Schizosaccharomyces pombe: one gene and its partners. The protein of the gene in region 1 interacts with the protein of each later gene in a pairwise test. Each region holds a gene or a part of one and is shown in the gene's direction. Other genes may lie near its edges.

Region 1 (5,798 bases):
CCTAGTATAAAGTCGAGCGAGAGGAAGACCAAACCCGAAGCCCTATGCATGTTTGTTAGTATTATATATTTCAACGATCAATAATAAAATGTTTCACTTACAGCCATAGGAGTAGTAGAATTTGCGCTAACGATATCGTGAGGATCATCTGTCAATGTAGGAGAGGCAGTTGTAAACATGTATGACCAAACTAAAGGGATATTTCGACGGGATATACCGCCTCCTTCATCAGAGATTTTGATGGTTATATCCTCTTGTCCTTTTGCAACAATGACCTTTATGGGAGGAAAGAAATCACTGTCTACACCATGAAATTCTACGGTTGCACGAAGACTGTTTTTGAGAATTTCAAAGACTGCGTGATTTAAATGGGACTCTACATACATCATTTCAAGTGAAGGATCGCAAATAATTTGAATCTCAGGTGCTTCAAACAATCCGTACGCAAGCCTGCAAATGTACTTGGCATTTTCAGCAGCACCTTCTATTATTTGATAAATATTTGCACGTGTACTTATCACACCAACGTAATTCTCACGCGGCGGTTCAGAGACAAGTGCTATATATTGACCTAACAGCATTCGAATTCCAATACGAGACATGTAAAACCTATCCAAAAATATTTGAATACTGTTGTCAATTTGGTTAGTCTTCCTTCGGTATTCTTGTATGTCCAAAGCAATTTCGACTGCAACGTTATCGTGTCTAGTTCGAATGGTATTTAAAAGGTATGCAAAATTACTATTAAATTTTAACAAAGATTCGGGCCAATTACAATCAACGCCATTATCTTGGTCAGAAAAATCTGTTTCAAAATAGCGACCTTTTGAAGAGTCTAAATGAGTATTTGCAAGCGAGGGATTATGAAGAATTTCAGAGTCCATTAAACTTGACCTCCATTTCGGGGCATTGTGATATCGAGCGTGCTTTGGAAGACATTTCGGTAGTTCCACTCCTTTCAGTTCAATAATTTCCTTCAACCAGTTAGCTTTGTTTGATTTCTGGTTATGTTTCGACAAGTATCGAACATGCAAATATACACATTTGACCTACCTCCATAGATCTACCGTAAGCAGCCTTTACGGAAGATATACGCTTCATACTTCGTAGCATCGGTGAAAGATTCTGCAGGTCTTGGATGCGCCGAGCCAAGCGAATGGGCAATTCATCTCGCAAAAACAAGCCAGCCCGGAAAAGTGTTCCTGGTGTAGGGTTCTTGCCTTCATAATAAAAATTAAGCAGTCAGTATAAAATTTCTAGTATGAAGTAATCTAAGAAAAATTAACTGAGCAAAAATTCTTACCAAAATACACTAATTGCTTTAAAGACAACCCTGTTTGAGGATATTGAGCCAAGAGATTGACTTTCTCCTGTAAAGTTTTCCCGAGCACTGACATTTCTTTTAAACCTTAAGTTTTTCTTTAAATTCGATAATGATAAATAGAACAATTGTTCAATCGTAAACTTTGTTGGTTTGTCTAACAAATAGATGATAACCCATGGACGAGCATAAAAAAAGCGGCAATTTGCAAAATATAACCTAAAGAAAGTAAAAGATGAGCTTCAGAAACAAACAAATAAAGCAGTTTCTTAATGTTTTCACACAGAATCTAAGAAAGCTTTTGCTAAACTAATGCATTCATATGTTTGCAAAGTACCCATAAAAATAATGAACTTGAGTGTATTCCATTAAAATTGAAATGCGTGATACATTATACTTCTTTTGCATTGCTTATTTTATTTTTCACAATACTGCTAGCTACACAGTTTGTTATCTAATTTAAGGATACGTAGAACTGCGGTGAGTTTTCCTTGTGGTCTATTATATTACAATACACAGGTCGTATGAGTAGCAACTGAGTATAGGTATTGTATTAACTAGGTTATAAAATGTTACCTATCACTAATATAGCTTATAACTGAACCTCGTTCCTCAGTTCAGTTAAAACTCTATTTATAATATTTCTAAATAGTTGCTATCAACGGGTATCTATGTATATAGACGGATAGTTACCCGTGATGATCAATAGACGGATCTTAATTAGTATTCCAACATATGACATATAGTGATATGTAACGTAGTGTAGTATTGCTGACAAATACGCGGTCATTAGGTTACTTAACGATACACATAATACTGCAATGCTTGTAGTTACTTGTTGATATACCAACCATAAATAAGAGGAAGAGTATGGTAGATCCACCTTCAAGATAAACATATTTGATCATTGCTATATCCTGCTTGTCAAATATTTTCTTAATACTCAACGGTTAGGAATATTCAAAAAAATTTAATGTTGTCCAACGATTTTGCGCTATTATATTTTTGCGATAAAGAAACATGTGCTACATTGAAATAATTTAAGGTAAATATGTGATACGTAGCAAACTGGAAAAAACAATAAAATGAATATTTGGTTTGACTATTAGTGTGTTTAAGAAACTGTTCTTTTAAAAGTTAAAACTACTTTAAATATAAAATATAATTTTGGTCACTTTCTGCTGCACTCGACATTTACCTCAATTTCCCATCCACCCTGTTTCGTCGCAAGTTGTTACAGTTACTACAAACCTCCATTACCACGCTTTCTGACAATTGTCAGGGTTTTGGCGAATATTTAGAAAATGGTTGTTTTAAAAGGAGGTTTGTAACTTTTTTTATTGTATTTTCTAACATAATTTAGGTGCCTGGAAAAATACAGAGGTAAAGACTATGATTTTAACCTTCTACCACGCGCAATGTTTTTGTTACTAACTTATTGGTAAACAGGATGAAATCTTAAAGGTATTTTTTTATTTATTAGTTACATATTTCCTTTAATATTTAGAATACTAACGCAAATTCCTAGGCTGCTGTCAGTAAATACGGTAAAAACCAATGGGCCCGCATAAGTTCATTGCTGGTTCGCAAAACTCCTAAACAATGTAAAGCTCGTTGGTATGAATGGATCGATCCAAGCATTAAAAAGGTATGTTAAACATGTAATCACTATTTGTTATTTGACAAGACCTATTGTTAACATTTCCTTCACATTTAGACTGAATGGAGTCGTGAAGAGGACGAAAAATTATTACACTTAGCTAAGTTACTTCCTACACAGTGGCGGACGATTGCTCCAATTGTAGGTCGGACGGCCACTCAATGTTTAGAACGCTATCAAAAACTTCTTGATGATTTGGAAGCGAAAGAGAACGAGCAGTTGGGATTGATCAGTGGAGAAGGTGCAGAAGCAGCTGCGCCTGTTAACGATCCAAATTCCCGGCTTCGTTTTGGCGAAGCAGAGCCCAATTTAGAAACCCTACCTGCACTCCCTGATGCCATTGACATGGATGAAGACGAAAAAGAGATGTTGAGTGAAGCACGTGCACGTTTAGCAAACACACAAGGAAAGAAAGCCAAACGAAAGGATAGAGAAAAGCAGCTTGAATTAACTAGAAGATTGTCACATCTCCAAAAGCGAAGAGAATTGAAGGCAGCTGGAATCAAGTATGTGTTATTATTATTACTTTATTGTATTGTTTTTCCTTCATTATGTTAATCTATAACTTAGTATAAAGCTCTTCCGTCGAAAGAAGAATGAAATGGATTATAACGCTTCTATTCCATTTGAAAAAAAGCCAGCGATTGGTTTTTATGATACCTCAGAAGAGGACAGGCAAAATTTTCGGGAAAAGCGAGAAGCGGACCAGAAGATAATTGAAAATGGAATACGGAATAATGAAATGGAATCCGAAGGTCGAAAATTTGGTCATTTTGAAAAGCCAAAACCTATTGATAGAGTAAAAAAGCCCAACAAAGATGCCCAAGAAGAAAAAATGCGACGTCTTGCCGAGGCTGAGCAGATGAGCAAGAGGCGGAAGTTGAATTTACCTAGTCCTACTGTGTCTCAAGATGAACTGGATAAAGTAGTGAAACTAGGCTTTGCAGGCGATCGTGCTCGCGCTATGACTGATACGACTCCAGATGCTAATTACAGTACTAATTTGTTAGGAAAGTATACACAAATTGAACGAGCTACTCCATTGAGAACACCAATTAGTGGTGAACTTGAGGGAAGAGAGGATTCAGTTACAATTGAAGTTAGAAATCAATTGATGAGGAACCGCGAACAATCTTCTCTCTTGGGTCAGGAAAGTATACCTTTACAACCTGGTGGTACTGGTTACACAGGAGTTACTCCCAGTCATGCAGCTAATGGCTCAGCTTTGGCAGCACCTCAAGCAACTCCTTTTAGAACACCACGTGACACATTTTCTATTAATGCAGCTGCGGAGCGAGCAGGACGATTAGCAAGTGAAAGAGAAAATAAAATTCGATTGAAGGCTTTGCGAGAATTGCTTGCAAAACTACCTAAACCTAAAAACGACTATGAACTAATGGAGCCTCGATTTGCGGACGAAACTGATGTTGAAGCTACTGTTGGAGTGCTTGAAGAAGACGCAACAGACCGAGAACGTCGTATCCAAGAACGTATTGCAGAAAAAGAAAGGTTGGCAAAAGCGAGGAGGTCACAGGTTATTCAAAGAGATTTGATTCGACCATCTGTAACACAACCAGAAAAATGGAAGCGTTCACTTGAAAATGAAGATCCGACTGCAAATGTTTTATTGAAAGAAATGATTGCTTTGATTTCATCGGACGCCATTAATTATCCGTTTGGAAATTCAAAAGTGAAAGGAACGGCTAACAAAGTGCCTGATTTGTCAAATGAAGAAATTGAGAGGTGTAGATTGTTACTAAAGAAAGAGATAGGGCAACTAGAAAGTGACGATTATATCCAATTCGAGAAGGAATTTTTGGAAACGTACAGTGCACTTCACAACACCTCAAGTTTGTTGCCAGGCTTGGTAATCTACGAGGAAGACGATGAAGACGTTGAAGCCGCTGAAAAGTTTTATACGAACGACATTCAACGAGATTTAGCTAAGAAAGCATTGGAATGTAACAAGTTGGAAAATCGGGTTTATGATTTGGTTAGATCTTCATATGAGCAACGTAATTTTTTGATAAAGAAAATCTCGCATGCTTGGAAGGCTTTGCAAACAGAAAGGAAAAATTTAACGTGCTACGAATTTCTATACAATCAGGAGCGATTAGCTCTACCTAATAGGCTTGAAGCAGCTGAAATAGAGCTAAGCAAAATGCAACAAATCGAGGCGTATGCTCAACAAGATTATGCTAGGGTTACTGGACAAAATTAAACTTCACTTCACTTTGTTTTAAATAATTGTCATAGCTTATCATTCATAGTGTATATTATCATGCCTGAAATAAAACGAAAGTTTTATAAAAAGATAATCCAAGCTAGAGAAAAGTAGAAAAGGAATAAAGGGTATACTGCCAACAATTTTTTGTTGGATAGATTAGAATTTTGTAAAACACCCATAGCAGCGAACAATGTCCAGGCATACATTGCAACAATCACAGGTATGCGTATAAATATTAAGGGAACGAATGCACAAACTATAGAAGCAATCATTAAAGGGAAAGAGGAGTACCCCAATATACACATAGATTGAAAAATGCTAATGTTGGCCCCTAGTAATTTTATATTTAAAGAACAAACCGCTTCCCCAAACCATATGAGCGCGACAACGACTGTAAAAACAGATTCTCGTTCAATCTTGTCAGTAGACAAGGCAAGTGCTAAAGCAATTACGAGGGAAAAAATCAAAGGACCCCACAAGTCCCAGTCGCGTAGTACTTGAGCATTTTTGGGATACAAAACATAGACGAGTTTTTCACCAATAGCTCTAAATTCATTAAATAATGTAACACGAATGGGTTCGTCCAGAGA
Region 2 (4,276 bases), on another chromosome or scaffold:
GCTCGATTAAAAAAAGAAGATCGATTGCTTCCTCAAATCGGTCGTATGCGAGAAATGCTTTCTCGTGGTTTAGCCGTTCATCATGGCGGACTGTTACCCATCATCAAGGAAATAGTAGAAATCCTTTTTCAAAGAGGGTTGGTGAAGGTTCTGTTTGCTACTGAGACCTTTGCAATGGGTGTAAATATGCCTGCAAAATCGGTGGTTTTTTCCGGTACACAAAAGCATGATGGACGGAACTTCCGTGATCTTCTTCCCGGAGAGTATACACAATGCTCTGGACGCGCTGGACGCCGTGGTCTTGATGTCACTGGTACAGTTATTATATTATCGCGTTCAGAACTTCCTGACACAGCTTCGTTGAGACACATGATTATGGGGCCTTCGTCTAAGCTTATAAGTCAATTTCGCTTAACATATAATATGATACTTAACCTCCTACGTGTAGAGACGCTTAGAATTGAAGACATGATTAAACGCAGCTTTAGTGAAAACGTTAACCAAACATTGGTGCCTCAGCACGAGGAAAAAATAAAAAGCTTTGAAGAAAAGTTGTCGGCTTTAAAGAAGGAAATGTCTGATGTTGATTTGAAAGAAATTAAAAGTTGTTTATTGAGCAGTGAATCTTTTAAAGAGTATACCAAAAAAATGCACTTCCGAGCAATAACTACTGCAAATGGCAAAAGAATATTTAAAGATGGAAGAGTCATTGTTTTTCAACAACTTGATTTTACTCGCACTGTTGGAGTTCTACTCGGAACATCCATTAGAACCAATGCTTCAGACTGTACACTGGAAGTTGCATATTTAAATCCACAGAACAACCTCAAACGACCATCGGATTTACTTGCTTTTGCTGACGCGTTCAATGATGTTTATGATAACGCTATCTTTGATGAATCAAACCAATTCAAGTATGGCCTTATCAATCTTTCCGGTATTGAAAGAGTCTGCAATACGATCCTTCGAATTGATTCTGGTGGAATTAGAGACCGTCGAGGGGGGGCTTTTCGAAAACTTAGTGAACAATTTGCATCAATTAAAAAGTTTTCCGACCTGCTTTTTGAAGAAGTTAATTGGAGTAAAGTCAGAGACTTTGAATTTTGTGAAGCTTTCGAAAAACGAAATTTTCTTCAGAACAAGTTATCCGGAAATCCAATTATCTCGACTCCAAACTTTCTTACTCATTTCGCCTTAGCTTACCAAGAGTATGAATTGGAAAGCAATATCGATAACTTATCTTCCTATATTTCCGATCAAAACCTAGAGTTACTGCCTGATTACGAACAACGGATAAAAGTATTGCAAGAACTAGGATATATTGACGCAGAGCGAACTGTTTTACTAAAGGGAAGAGTCGCATGTGAAATTAATTCCACCAGTGAATTGGTATTAACAGAGTTGATTTTGGAAAACAGTTTGGCGGACTTTTCTTGTGAAGAGACAATAGCATTGTTGTCTGCATTTGTTTTCGATGAGAAAACGGAGGTTGAACCCACAATTTCTCCTCATTTACAAAAAGGAAAGGAAATGATACTATCAGTGGCCGAGAAAGTTAATCAAATTCAAGAGCACTATCAGGTATTGTATTTTAATGAAGGTAATGATTTTGAATCACAACCACGATTTGGTTTAATGGAGGTTTGCTACGAGTGGGCTAGAGGGATGTCTTTCAACCGTATCACAGACTTAACAGACGTTTTAGAAGGATCGATTGTAAGAACAATTATAAGACTTGATGAAGTTCTACGTGAATGCAGAGGAGCAGCCCGTGTCGTCGGCGATTCTTCCATGTATACGAAGATGGAAGAGTGTCAAAATCTAATTCGCAGAAACATAGTCTTCTGCCCTTCACTGTATATGTGAATTTAATAGTTATATATATTTGTAGATTTAAATGATATTCATATGAAATTTTATGTGTTTTTCACGAATTTTATTTGTCTTAAAAGTCTTCGTATTCCACCTTGCAAAGTTTAACACCACCACATATTTACAAAGATTAGCATTGCAAGAGAATTGCGTTTCTAATATGTCTCATGGACCAAAAGGTGATATAAATAAACAAGAATGGGAGGATGTTGAATTTCCAAGCATCTGTGAACGTTGTTTGGGCGACAATTCATATGTTCGTATGACTAAGGAGCCACTTGGACAAGAATGTAAAATTTGCTCAAAACCTTGTACAATCTTTCGGTGGATAAAAGAACGCGGCCAAAAGCCTGGAAAAACTCAAATTTGTGTTGGTTGCGCCAGATATAAGAACTGCTGTCAGAGTTGCATGCTTGATTTGCAATTTGGTTTACCGGTAAGTTCAATATTTCATTCAACTATAATAGTCAGCTAACGTTCCATGAAGATTGCCCTGAGGGATGCAGCCCTAAAACTGGTCGAAAGCGGTCCCACTAACGATATTAATCGCGAATTCTTTGCTCAAAATCAACAACGCCTGTTAAGTAATGGCGAAACGGCCTACGATAGCCAGGAAGCAAGCGCCGCTGCAAGAAATCTTGTTAAAAAGGTAGAAAAACGAGAATTACATTCAAGACCTCCTAAGCGAAAATTAGATGATGTTGAGTCTAAGCAAATATTAAAGGAGGCTCGAGCATCTGATGCATCTTTAAATGCAGAACGCCCATTATTTCCGGTTAAAAAAATTATTAATGGGAATGTTTCCTTGTCTATTAATATGGAACCTCCTAAAGATAAAAAAATCGTAAGTGCGACTTAAAAGTAATTTAAGCTTGATGGCGCATTGTATTGTGCTAACATTTAGGCATCCCTTTTCCTTATTGGCGTCGAAGATGAACTAGCTGACTATAAAATTCGTAAACATTTTGAACAATATGGGCCTCTTAAATCAGTTGTGTGTTCTCATCGAGCAAAATGCGCATTCGTAAACTTTAAAACTCGTTCTAGTGCTGAGATTGCGGCGGCGGCATCTCCCGATGGAAATGTTGTTATAGAGGGGTTTCGACTGAAAGTTCAATGGGGAAAACCTCGTTCTCTTGGAGGACCTGAGGGTGAAGTACGAAACGCAAAGTTGGCAGACCTTGTGATGCGAGGTTCATCCCATGGAAATAAAACCTCCCAAAAATCTACGATTAAAAACATTGAAAATGAAGATCATGAAAATACTAAAAGCCCTGCAGTTGCTATACCCATTGACCCCAATCAACCCCGTTACCGATCTCAAATTCCGCGGTGAAGTCAGTTGGTCATTTAAAACCTTTGTAGTAGCTATTAACTTATTTTCTCTAATACTGACAAGCTTTATTCTGTATTTTCTTGTTTATTTGTCTTTGCACCTTTTCTGTCGTCTCTCGGTCATTCTCCTTAAATAATCAAATATCTGCTGCTTTACCTTACTCAGCAAAACACTTTGGGTTTTGCATATTTTTTACATTATAAAGCATCAATTTATTTTTTCTGAATGGATAGTATTGAAAAAACTCCTGACGGAGAAGAAGAGGAAAAAGATGTATGGGACACTGCTCTTGAAAAAGGTGGATGTGTAGAAGAGCACCTTCGACTGAATGATTGCTATTGGGATACTCATGATTGGAGGAAATGTACAGAACAGGTAATTATATGTCTTTAAAAAATTTAGCTAATTCTGATATTTTTAGATGGAAGAATTCAGGAAATGTTGGGAAAAGAGACATGGTCCTTTGCCAAGTATCTCAGACAAAAAAAATAAAAATTTATCTTAATGAGTTTCTATATCATGTGATTTTGTGAAAAAAATAATTATTCTGTTTACGGCAGTTTTAGTACGCTGTTATTAGGATGAATTCTTTTTATTGAAAAAGATATAATGCATGCGGAACTAATTAATTGGATTCTTCAAATACGAAGACAGTGTTTCAAATCATTAACTCATTTGATATAATTTTTTTGAATATTTTCTGCAATTGCAGAGTTTTCAGCTATTTATTTTACGAAGTCTCAGTTGTCATAGTGCATCAATTTTTCTGTGTTATGTGGTATGGTAAAGCAAGTTATGACTTAGTATTGAATTGATAGGATGGAGTTTAAATACGCAAAAACATATTTTACAATTCAACGTTGTTGTCAAATTGTATAAGTCTGTTTCAAATCTGATCCATCGATATTGGAAAAGTTCTGTACTTATAACCCGCTTTTATTGTTGCATTTGTTGAAAAATAAAAAATTTGACTTTAGAATGTTTTCATATTGAACATGTGAACGTATTCAACTGTCAAAAAATGTGTGCAGTTTAGTAAATAAGCGTAATTTACCCATCAATAAACAA
Region 3 (4,485 bases), on another chromosome or scaffold:
CCTTGTATTATTGACTGATTATACTACTAACCATATCTTCATACTACCAACTCCAGCCTTCCTCCTATTTCACTCTTGTTTTAAACGATCAATAACTCAAAACACCATTAATCTTTACCGGGCATATTTGCCATATAAAAATTCTTATACGTATTCGAAAGCGTTAATATTTGGTGAATTTAAATTATCTTTCAAATCCTCCATTTATACCGTAAAGAATTTGTATACTCCTTTCTTTTTCCATTTTCTTATACTTGCGAAATCGTTATAAGTGATCTTTTACTTGTTCTTGTATATCTAAAAGTTTTGTTGGTTGTTATAAAATTTTGTGGATTCGGCTTCTTTACCACATATCTTTTTAAAATTCTCGTTTATTTCCATAACAAATAATCATCGAGCTTGATTTAAGATACTAGGCGCTTTGTTTAAATCCAAATTCTTTTTAAAATTCGGTTAACCTGTCTTACAGCTTTTGGCTGGTAATTAATTAATTGTGTTGTGCAAATATAACAGACCGAATTCCAGTATCCAGCTTCTGTCCAGGCTTCTTGTCTCAATTTTTACCTTCATTTTTCCATATTATCATTAGAATGACTCGGAAAACTATCATTGTTGGGGTTAGGTAAGTTCTACAGGCAATTGTTTTAATGAATTTTTATTAACAAGAAAAAATTAGTGGTGCCTCTTGTAGTGGAAAATCGGTATGATAATTTTGATTAATAAGAAAGAATAAAATAAAATCAAAAACTCCAAAATAAAAAAAAAATGAAGTACTAACCAATTTCTCTTTCTTGTTTTGACAGACTCTATGCCAGCTTTTACATGCCATTTTTGAAGGATCTTCTCTCGTTCATGAAGATGATTTTTACAAGGTTCGTTTAGATTATTTCGTCTATTTGCCTAGTCGTGCGAATTTTGCAAGTGTCATAGAATAAATCGTACCCTCGTTTTAAAAACCGATGGTTGAATCTTATCGATGAAGCAAACACTGTGTTTTTATGTAGTGCCAAAGCACCTATTGATATACTAACTCGTTTGTTTTGTAGACTGATGCTGAGATACCAGTCAAAAACGGCATTGCCGATTGGGATTGCCAAGAGTCGTTGAATTTAGACGCTTTCCTTGAAAATTTGCATTATATCCGTGATCATGGCGTGTTACCTACTCACCTTCGAAATAGGGAAAATAAAAATGTTGCTCCTGAAGCCCTAATAGAATACGCTGATATAATTAAAGAATTCAAGGCACCGGCCATTCCAACTTTGGAACAGCATCTCGTTTTCGTAGACGGATTTATGATGTACGTTAATGAAGACCTTATAAACGCATTTGATATTCGACTGATGCTGGTGACCGATTTTGATACGCTTAAGCGTCGTAGAGAAGCCCGTACTGGTTATATAACGTTGGAAGGTAAGAATTCAACTATCCAGATAAAACATAACACCTGTGTTTAATCGTTGTACCTTTCAGTTAAGGCTAACTCCAAATTGTTCCAGGATTTTGGCAAGACCCCCCACATTATTTCGAAAATTATGTTTGGCCTGGCTATGTACATGGTCATTCCCATTTGTTTGTCAATGGCGATGTGACAGGGAAATTGCTTGATAAGCGTATACAGTTAAGCCCTTCTAGTAAAATGTCTGTGAGAGATAACGTCCAATGGGCCATTAATTCAATTTTGAATGCTTTACAATGATCCGTTTTGATCTATCTTTTCTTCGACTTGTATTTTCTGAGTACTACCTGACTTATACACAAATCCTCTCTACCGCTTCTTTTTTTTCTTTTTAGACAAGACTACCTGTGCATGATTTACTTTTTAAATTCAGGGTTAATTAATTACTTTCCATCATTTCCTCCTCTCCATATATTTATTGCTACTATCGCTTTTAGAACATCATGTTATTAATAATCCGTAACTAGACCGTTTAATAAATGTATATATATTACAAACTTTTATTACTTGATAACCATCCCTTTTTTTATTTTGACAATTCATTTGTAAGCTACTTTATTCTCAAATATTAGTACTTAATATTTCTCGTTCGCTAATGTTCGTGGATTATGATGCTTCAAATAAGTCAGTCCAACTGCCATCTACCTACAAATCCTCTACCAAAAATTTAACAGATTTATGACAGAAGCAAAAAACATATCGGATGATACAGATGTACTTTCTTTGACTACAAATAGTCTTAGAACATCAAAAACTCTTTTTGGAGCCGAGTTTGGGTCAGTTACCAGTTTTGACGATACTGTAGCTCAAAATCTCAAAAGAACATACAAAGAACATTTAGAATATGGTTCTGTTCTTGGAGGAACTGTTGGAAAACGGAAGAACCGACATTACGAAGAAGACACTATTGGTAGTAATGCTTTGACGGTTAGAGCAGACAGTGAAAACCCTTCCTCCCAAGTGATCACCAAGTTTTCAGATCCTAATAAGAAAATAGCAGGGCAGGTTTCCATGCAATCTTTAGAAAAAATTAAAGGAGTTCCTGAAGCAGCACATAGAATTGCCGGAGAATCCCAGGCTTCTCTCGTAAAGCGCACTCTTGCCGAACAGATTCGCCCTGAATGGCATGCTCCATGGACTCTTATGCGTGTTATTAGTGGTCATTTGGGTTGGGTTCGATGCGTAGATGTTGAACCCGGTAATCAATGGTTTTGCACGGGTGCTGGGGACCGCACCATCAAAATATGGGACTTAGCGTCTGGAGTACTTAAGCTAACATTGACTGGGCATATCGCCACTGTGCGAGGATTAGCAGTATCTCCCCGTCATCCATATTTATTTTCCTGTGGTGAAGACAAAATGGTAAAATGCTGGGACCTCGAAACTAATAAAGTGATCCGCCATTATCACGGGCATCTTTCCGGAGTCTATGCCTTAAAACTCCATCCAACACTTGACGTCCTTGTTACCGCTGGTCGTGATGCAGTCGCTCGTGTTTGGGATATGCGCACTCGCCAAAATGTCCATGTTTTATCGGGCCACAAATCCACTGTTGCTTCTTTAGCCGTTCAAGAATTCGATCCTCAAGTAGTCACGGGTTCCATGGATTCTACTATCAGATTATGGGATTTAGCAGCTGGGAAAACCTTGACGACCTTGACACATCACAAAAAAACTGTTCGTGCCCTGTCTTTGCATCCAGATGAATTTACTTTTGCCAGTGGCTCGTCCGACAATATCAAACATTGGAAATTCCCTGAAGGCGCATTTATGGGTAATTTTGAAGGACATAATGCAATCGTTAATACTCTTTCAATAAACTCAGATAATGTTATGTTTTCTGGTGCTGATAATGGAAGCATGTGCTTTTGGGATTGGAAGTCTGGTCACAAATATCAAGAGCTTCAATCTGTTGTTCAACCTGGTTCATTGGATAGCGAAGCTGGAATCTTTGCTAGTTCTTTTGATAAAACCGGTTTGCGTCTAATTACTTGTGAGGCTGATAAAAGCGTAAAGATATACAAACAAGTGGACAATGCCACACCTGAAACACATCCCAATTTGCCATGGACACCATCAAATCTTCGTCGGCGATATTAATAGGGCATCGACTTCCAAGATTAAGATTGAGAGGATAGTTATGATATGTATGTTATTGCTAGATATGAGATTCCAATTTTTGAATCTACTATTTAATGTCATCTTTTGGTAGGCGGTAAACAATGATAAAATATTGGCTTGTTTCTAAATAGTAATTTTCTCATGCTTGATGTTTTGGAGTGCATAAATAAGAAAACTATAGATTATTATTGTTGCTTTCTTAAAGAAAATTTTTTAATCTGTTGTAATGAACTTGTGCTTTATTCCATAGTCATAGATTTGCTTTCCTATTAGCCTTAACGTTTTCAAGGTTCCATTGTTTACTTCTTGGAAAAAGACCCATTAACGGATTGTAACAAAATTCCTTATCTCTTTAAAAGACCATACCCTACCCTAAATGTGCTTTAAAAAAACAGTCACTGTGTAGACCTCAACACAGAAACGACAAGTTGCAGCGTGCAAATTCCTCACAAAATGCTTATTCCCAAGGAGAACCGCAAGGCCATTCATCAAGCTTTGTTCCAACAAGGTGTCCTCGTTGCTAAGAAGGGTAATGTCTAAAAAACGTCGTAGACCAAGGTTTAACTAACAAGCGTAGATTTCAACCTCCCCAAGCACCCCGAAGTTGGTGTCCCCAACTTGCAAGTCATTAAGGCTTGTCAATCCTTGGATTCTCGCGGCTATCTTAAGACCCGCTACAATTGGGGATGGTTTTACTACACCTTGACCAACGAGGGTGTTGAATACTTGCGTGAGTATTTGCACCTTCCCGCTGAGGTTGTGCCCGCTACTCACAAGCGTCAAGTTCGTCCTGCTGCCCCCCGTGCTGGCCGTCCTGAGCCTCGTGAGCGTAGCTCTGCTGCTGATGCTGGCTACCGCCGTGCCGAGAAGAAGGATGATGGTGCTGCTCCCGGTGGATTTGCTCC
Region 4 (4,151 bases), on another chromosome or scaffold:
AAAATAGGAGGTGGCGGCGGAGCAGAAGAAGAAGAAAAGGAATCTAAATTACCGTTATTTACATTCATGTTTTCATCCGAAGATTCATTATTACTTATACCTTCATGCTTTACAGCAACAGGAGACATTCTTTTGTGACGCTTAGCTAAGGAATTGGTTTCTTCTTGACTTCTGACGAGCGTTTGTACTTGTGCTTCACGGCCAAAAGCTCGGGCTGCCTCACAATAATCCTTCTTGATTAAATAATCATATATGTACGAATTCAGTAAGGATTGTGTGGTCCTATCGGCATTATTTACGTGCGGTTGTTTTTGATCTTTTTGTAAATCATGTTTCTGTCCTTGCTGGCTTGGCAATCCGACGCCGGACCTTAAACCTGGATCAGCCATAAACTAGAAATGTGCAGAAGTTAGGTGTTGCGAACGAGAATATGGATCTACAACGATGCACGCTGGCGATATATAATTTTAAAGATCTGCGCACGCTATACTACCGCAACATTTTGTATATCATATTTTCATTTTAGTTTTCTATCAATTACTGAAAATCATAAAATCATAAATGTTATGTTTGAATTTAGTTACAGAGTAAATCAAAACCCTTGAAGAGTAAAACTCTATAGAGGTTTCTTATTTTCCAAGGCAAGTCATGCTCTAAAAACATTTTTAATAATAGTTATTATGTATATATTCGGATTTGAATTATCTAAAATGGGCTATATTAAAATATGGTTCTAAGATGATATACTTTCAATGAATCAACCAGTGGTAATTTCAGATTTTATATATGCAAACTTACTAACTGAAAACTGTGGAATTAAGGGATAGGTGGGTTTAGAAAGTAAATGTAAATTGATATTTCTTCATCCGTAAAAACATCATAATGAATTAAGAATACTATTAGCCGCAGTTTTTTGTAAGAATGCTGTAATTATGTAGATAGTATCAATTATTCTTGTTTTATTTACCTTGCCTTGGAAAATATACATATCTACAGCTTTTTACATAAGTTAGCGATGTAAATACTAAGCACTGGAACTCATATTATCATTTTCTAAAGTTGTTAGAAATGCTTTTAGTAGTAAAGATTTTGGAATGTGTTCACTATTCGAAAACTAGTTGCAAATTGTGTTTTTCAGTAAATCAAGCAAGATGCTTAATTTTGGCACTACAAGTTTTTAGAAAGTACTTACATGAAGATTGGAAGCTTTGCGTAAATTTGTTTAGTTTCACATATTCCACATTTTAGTTTTCTATAATTCATTTTTTATCAAGTAGAAAATTTAGTTTCTCTCTTTCATTGCAAATGCTATAATCCGGCTTTAGAACTACTATCTACTGGATAATCCTTTATTATTGCCATGCTAGATTCCCTGTAGAATTATGGATTTTGATATTAATCAAAAATTAATTTCTTAAAGTACAAATATATTCGACGGGAGAAAGTTTATGAAATTTTGTATGCGGTTATACCTAATCAGTGATTATCTCGTTGTTTATATTTCAATTTTTGAGGCGACTAGAATAGACAATTCAGCCCAGAAAACCGTACATACAATTTTTAAGTAGAAAAATTTGTTAATAACTATACCCAAAAAAAATGTGATTACGCATCTTTAGCTAATGGCAAAATGCTTCTCAAGTGTTTTTGATGGTGGTAAAATCGAGATAGACTAGATATTAAAGCCGCTCGTTAAATATTATAAGACATTAATTGATACTAGTGTTTTTCCTCAAGCACAAACAAGGTCTGTATATAGTATACGGAATAGATATTTCTTACAATTTATTTATACTGTTTAAACGAATTTTAAATGGCTTCCATGAGAAGGGTAAATTTTTAGGGATTTTGCCTGTAATCAAAATGTTGTTCATATAAATTCTACTTTAAGTCCTGTTTATAGGAATGAGCTCATCATTCCTCGTTATTTGAACACCAAAGAAAAGTCCGATTTATTGGTATTTTGGTTGTGACAGAAACCCCTGCGACGATTGTCGATCCGTTTTATATATTTTCCACTCCCGTCCCTGCTATTCATTTTACGTTCTAATTCTGAAAACTGTCAATCAGAAATTGCAGTTATTATATATAGTAAACTGGAAATGGATAAACGAAAGGAATCGGAGAGTGCGACTAATGGACATTTAGTATGTTCGATTGCTAAAAAAACATGCACTAATATAAATAGGTTAAAAGAATTAGAATCCAAGATTCTAGCTTAATAACGGAGGGTTCTGTATTGCAACGAACATCTGATCTCAATGTTCCAAACCTACAGATGTTTGGGCATACGGTATGGTTGTATTGAAATAAATCATACTAACGCTTTAGGCTGAAGTTTTAGTCGCCAGGTTCGATCCTTCTGGATCATACTTTGCTTCTGGCGGTATGGATAGACAGATACGTAAGTGCAGCTGTAATTAAAATGTTGATTTATAATAACTGTGGTTTAGTTCTTTGGAATGTGTTTGGTGACGTTAAAAACTACGGAGTATTAAATGGCTGCAAGGGAGCCATAACTGATTTACAGTGGAGCAGGGATTCACGCGTAGTTTACTGTTCTTCCTCCGATACACACCTCATGTCTTGGGACGCTGTCTCTGGTCAAAAAATCCGGAAGCATAAAGGCCACGCTGGCGTGGTGAATGCTTTAGACGTTTTAAAAGTTGGTTCCGAACTTCTGACTTCTGTAAGTGATGATTGTACTATGAAGGTATGGATATTGTTATTAAAATATGGAATAGTTACTAAATTTAAGGTATGGGACTCGCGGTCAAAAGACTGCATAAAAACAATAGAAGAAAAATATCCCTTAACGGCTGTCGCAATAGCGCAGCAAGGAACCCAAGTTTTTATCGGTGGTATTGACGGAGCTATTAAAATCTGGGATTTACGAAACAATCACTGCTCGCATGTTCTGAAAGGGCATAAAGATATCATTACTAGTTTGGCTATATCTAAAGATGGATCTAGCTTACTTTCTAATTCTATGGACAACACGGGTATGCTAATTTTTTTTGGGTGTTTGATCAACCTTTGTACTAATGCTATTTTAATTTATAGTTCGAATATTTGATGTAAAACCTTTTGCTTCTGCTCAACGACAGTTGCAAATTTTTGAAGGAGCTATTCACGGACAGGAGCATAATTTGTTAGGTGTTGCCTGGAGTCGTAATTCACGATTCGTTGGTGCTGGTAGCTCTGATAAAAACGTATATGTTTGGTCAGCCACAGGCGATTTACGTTATGTATTACCCGGACATGAGGGTTCAGTAAATCACGTTGACTTTCATCCACATCAGGACATCATTCTTTCATGTTCCTCAGATCGAACAATATTTCTTGGGGAATTGAATTAATTTTTATTTCATGAATAATTTTTCAATAAACATTAAATACTATTAAAATTTTCTGTAGAACTTATTATTTGACGATCTTAGTTGTCAAGCCTGTTATAATTCCTATAACTACAAGTTTCTTAGATTTCGATTAATTATCAAATTATATGCGTTATGAGTACATCTTTATGGTAATGATACATCATCTAATCTTATTTCTAATTAAACAGGTTAAATAACTTAGAAGAATGGATGAATGAGGACTATATTCGAGCAATTTTTGAAAATGTTAGAAAAGTAAACTATTATGAAGATGGCGAGTCGGGAGCTATTTTAAAAACTTGCTGCATTGAATTTGAGAGTCAAGATGCTGCTAGGAATGCTTTAGAAAGGCAATCTACTCAACGATTAATATCTGGGAACCCGATCTCTTTAGATGTGGTTCCTGAATGGCAAAAACCTAGTTACTATATGCTTTTCATTAGTAACATTGATCCAGAAGTGTCTGAAAATGATATAAAATACTTGTTTCAACGTTATAACTTTATTTCTGCTCGTGTTCTACGTTGTGTTGACGGGACTTCAACTAGCATTGCTTTCATATGGTTAGCTAATGAAAGTGATATACAAAACGCGCAGGTAGAGATGCAGGGTGCCTTTTGTTTAAAAAGATCTATATTAGTTCATTCCGTCAAATCCGATAAAAATACTTACTTAAGTTCGCCTGGGTTTTATGGTACACCTCAACCACTAAATCAATTTACTGATCCAAACAATACAGCAGTTTATGTTCACCAACTCCCCGAAAATATA

The links.
Region 2: the proteins of cdc5 (region 1) and cwf5 interact in binary tests that used the Schizosaccharomyces pombe proteins (3 or more experiments, as listed by UniProt).
Region 3: the proteins of cdc5 (region 1) and prp5 interact in binary tests that used the Schizosaccharomyces pombe proteins (3 or more experiments, as listed by UniProt).
Region 4: the proteins of cdc5 (region 1) and spf38 interact in binary tests that used the Schizosaccharomyces pombe proteins (3 or more experiments, as listed by UniProt).

Annotation. Positions count from the first base shown.
Region 1 is NC_003424.3:2,692,133-2,697,930, forward strand, and holds cdc5 (splicing factor Cdc5), read left to right. Parts: upstream 1-2,566; 5' UTR 2,567-2,625; coding exon 2,626-2,644; exon of another isoform or gene 2,645-2,684; coding exon 2,685-2,704; exon of another isoform or gene 2,705-2,761; intron 2,762-2,770; coding exon 2,771-2,785; exon of another isoform or gene 2,786-2,849; coding exon 2,850-2,969; exon of another isoform or gene 2,970-3,038; coding exon 3,039-3,487; exon of another isoform or gene 3,488-3,551; coding exon 3,552-5,202; 3' UTR 5,203-5,285; downstream 5,286-5,798. Other genes in the region: [pyruvate dehydrogenase (acetyl-transferring)] kinase Pkp1, read right to left, coding at 1-42, 102-974, 1,054-1,220, 1,304-1,397; SPOM_SPAC644.13C (Rab GTPase-binding protein), read right to left, coding at 5,286-5,798. UniProt on the Schizosaccharomyces pombe protein: Involved in mRNA splicing and cell cycle control.
Region 2 is NC_003421.2:1,185,325-1,189,600, reverse strand, and holds cwf5 (Prp19 complex subunit, RNA-binding Cwf5), read left to right. Parts: upstream 1-1,978; 5' UTR 1,979-2,032; coding exon 2,033-2,308; intron 2,309-2,359; coding exon 2,360-2,716; intron 2,717-2,776; coding exon 2,777-3,208; downstream 3,209-4,276. Other genes in the region: Ski complex RNA helicase Ski2, read left to right, coding at 1-1,866; coa4 (respiratory chain complex assembly protein), read left to right, coding at 3,434-3,583, 3,630-3,713.
Region 3 is NC_003423.3:1,443,975-1,448,459, forward strand, and holds prp5 (Prp19 complex WD repeat protein Prp5), read left to right. Parts: upstream 1-2,117; 5' UTR 2,118-2,137; coding exon 2,138-3,559; 3' UTR 3,560-3,761; downstream 3,762-4,485. Other genes in the region: nrk1 (nicotinamide riboside kinase), read left to right, coding at 591-622, 677-701, 804-872, 1,047-1,413, 1,500-1,699; rps1002 (40S ribosomal protein eS10), read left to right, coding at 4,034-4,109, 4,158-4,485. UniProt on the Schizosaccharomyces pombe protein: Required for both cell cycle progression at G2/M and pre-mRNA splicing. Interacts genetically with the PRP4 kinase.
Region 4 is NC_003423.3:4,402,459-4,406,609, forward strand, and holds spf38 (U5 snRNP complex subunit Spf38), read left to right. Parts: upstream 1-1,971; 5' UTR 1,972-2,102; coding exon 2,103-2,147; exon of another isoform or gene 2,148-2,188; coding exon 2,189-2,293; exon of another isoform or gene 2,294-2,331; coding exon 2,332-2,404; exon of another isoform or gene 2,405-2,453; coding exon 2,454-2,713; intron 2,714-2,758; coding exon 2,759-3,002; intron 3,003-3,063; coding exon 3,064-3,359; 3' UTR 3,360-3,428; downstream 3,429-4,151. Other genes in the region: adn2 (transcription factor), read right to left, coding at 1-389; U1 snRNP-associated protein Usp109, read left to right, coding at 3,513-3,529, 3,569-4,151. UniProt on the Schizosaccharomyces pombe protein: Involved in mRNA splicing where it associates with cdc5 and the other cwf proteins as part of the spliceosome.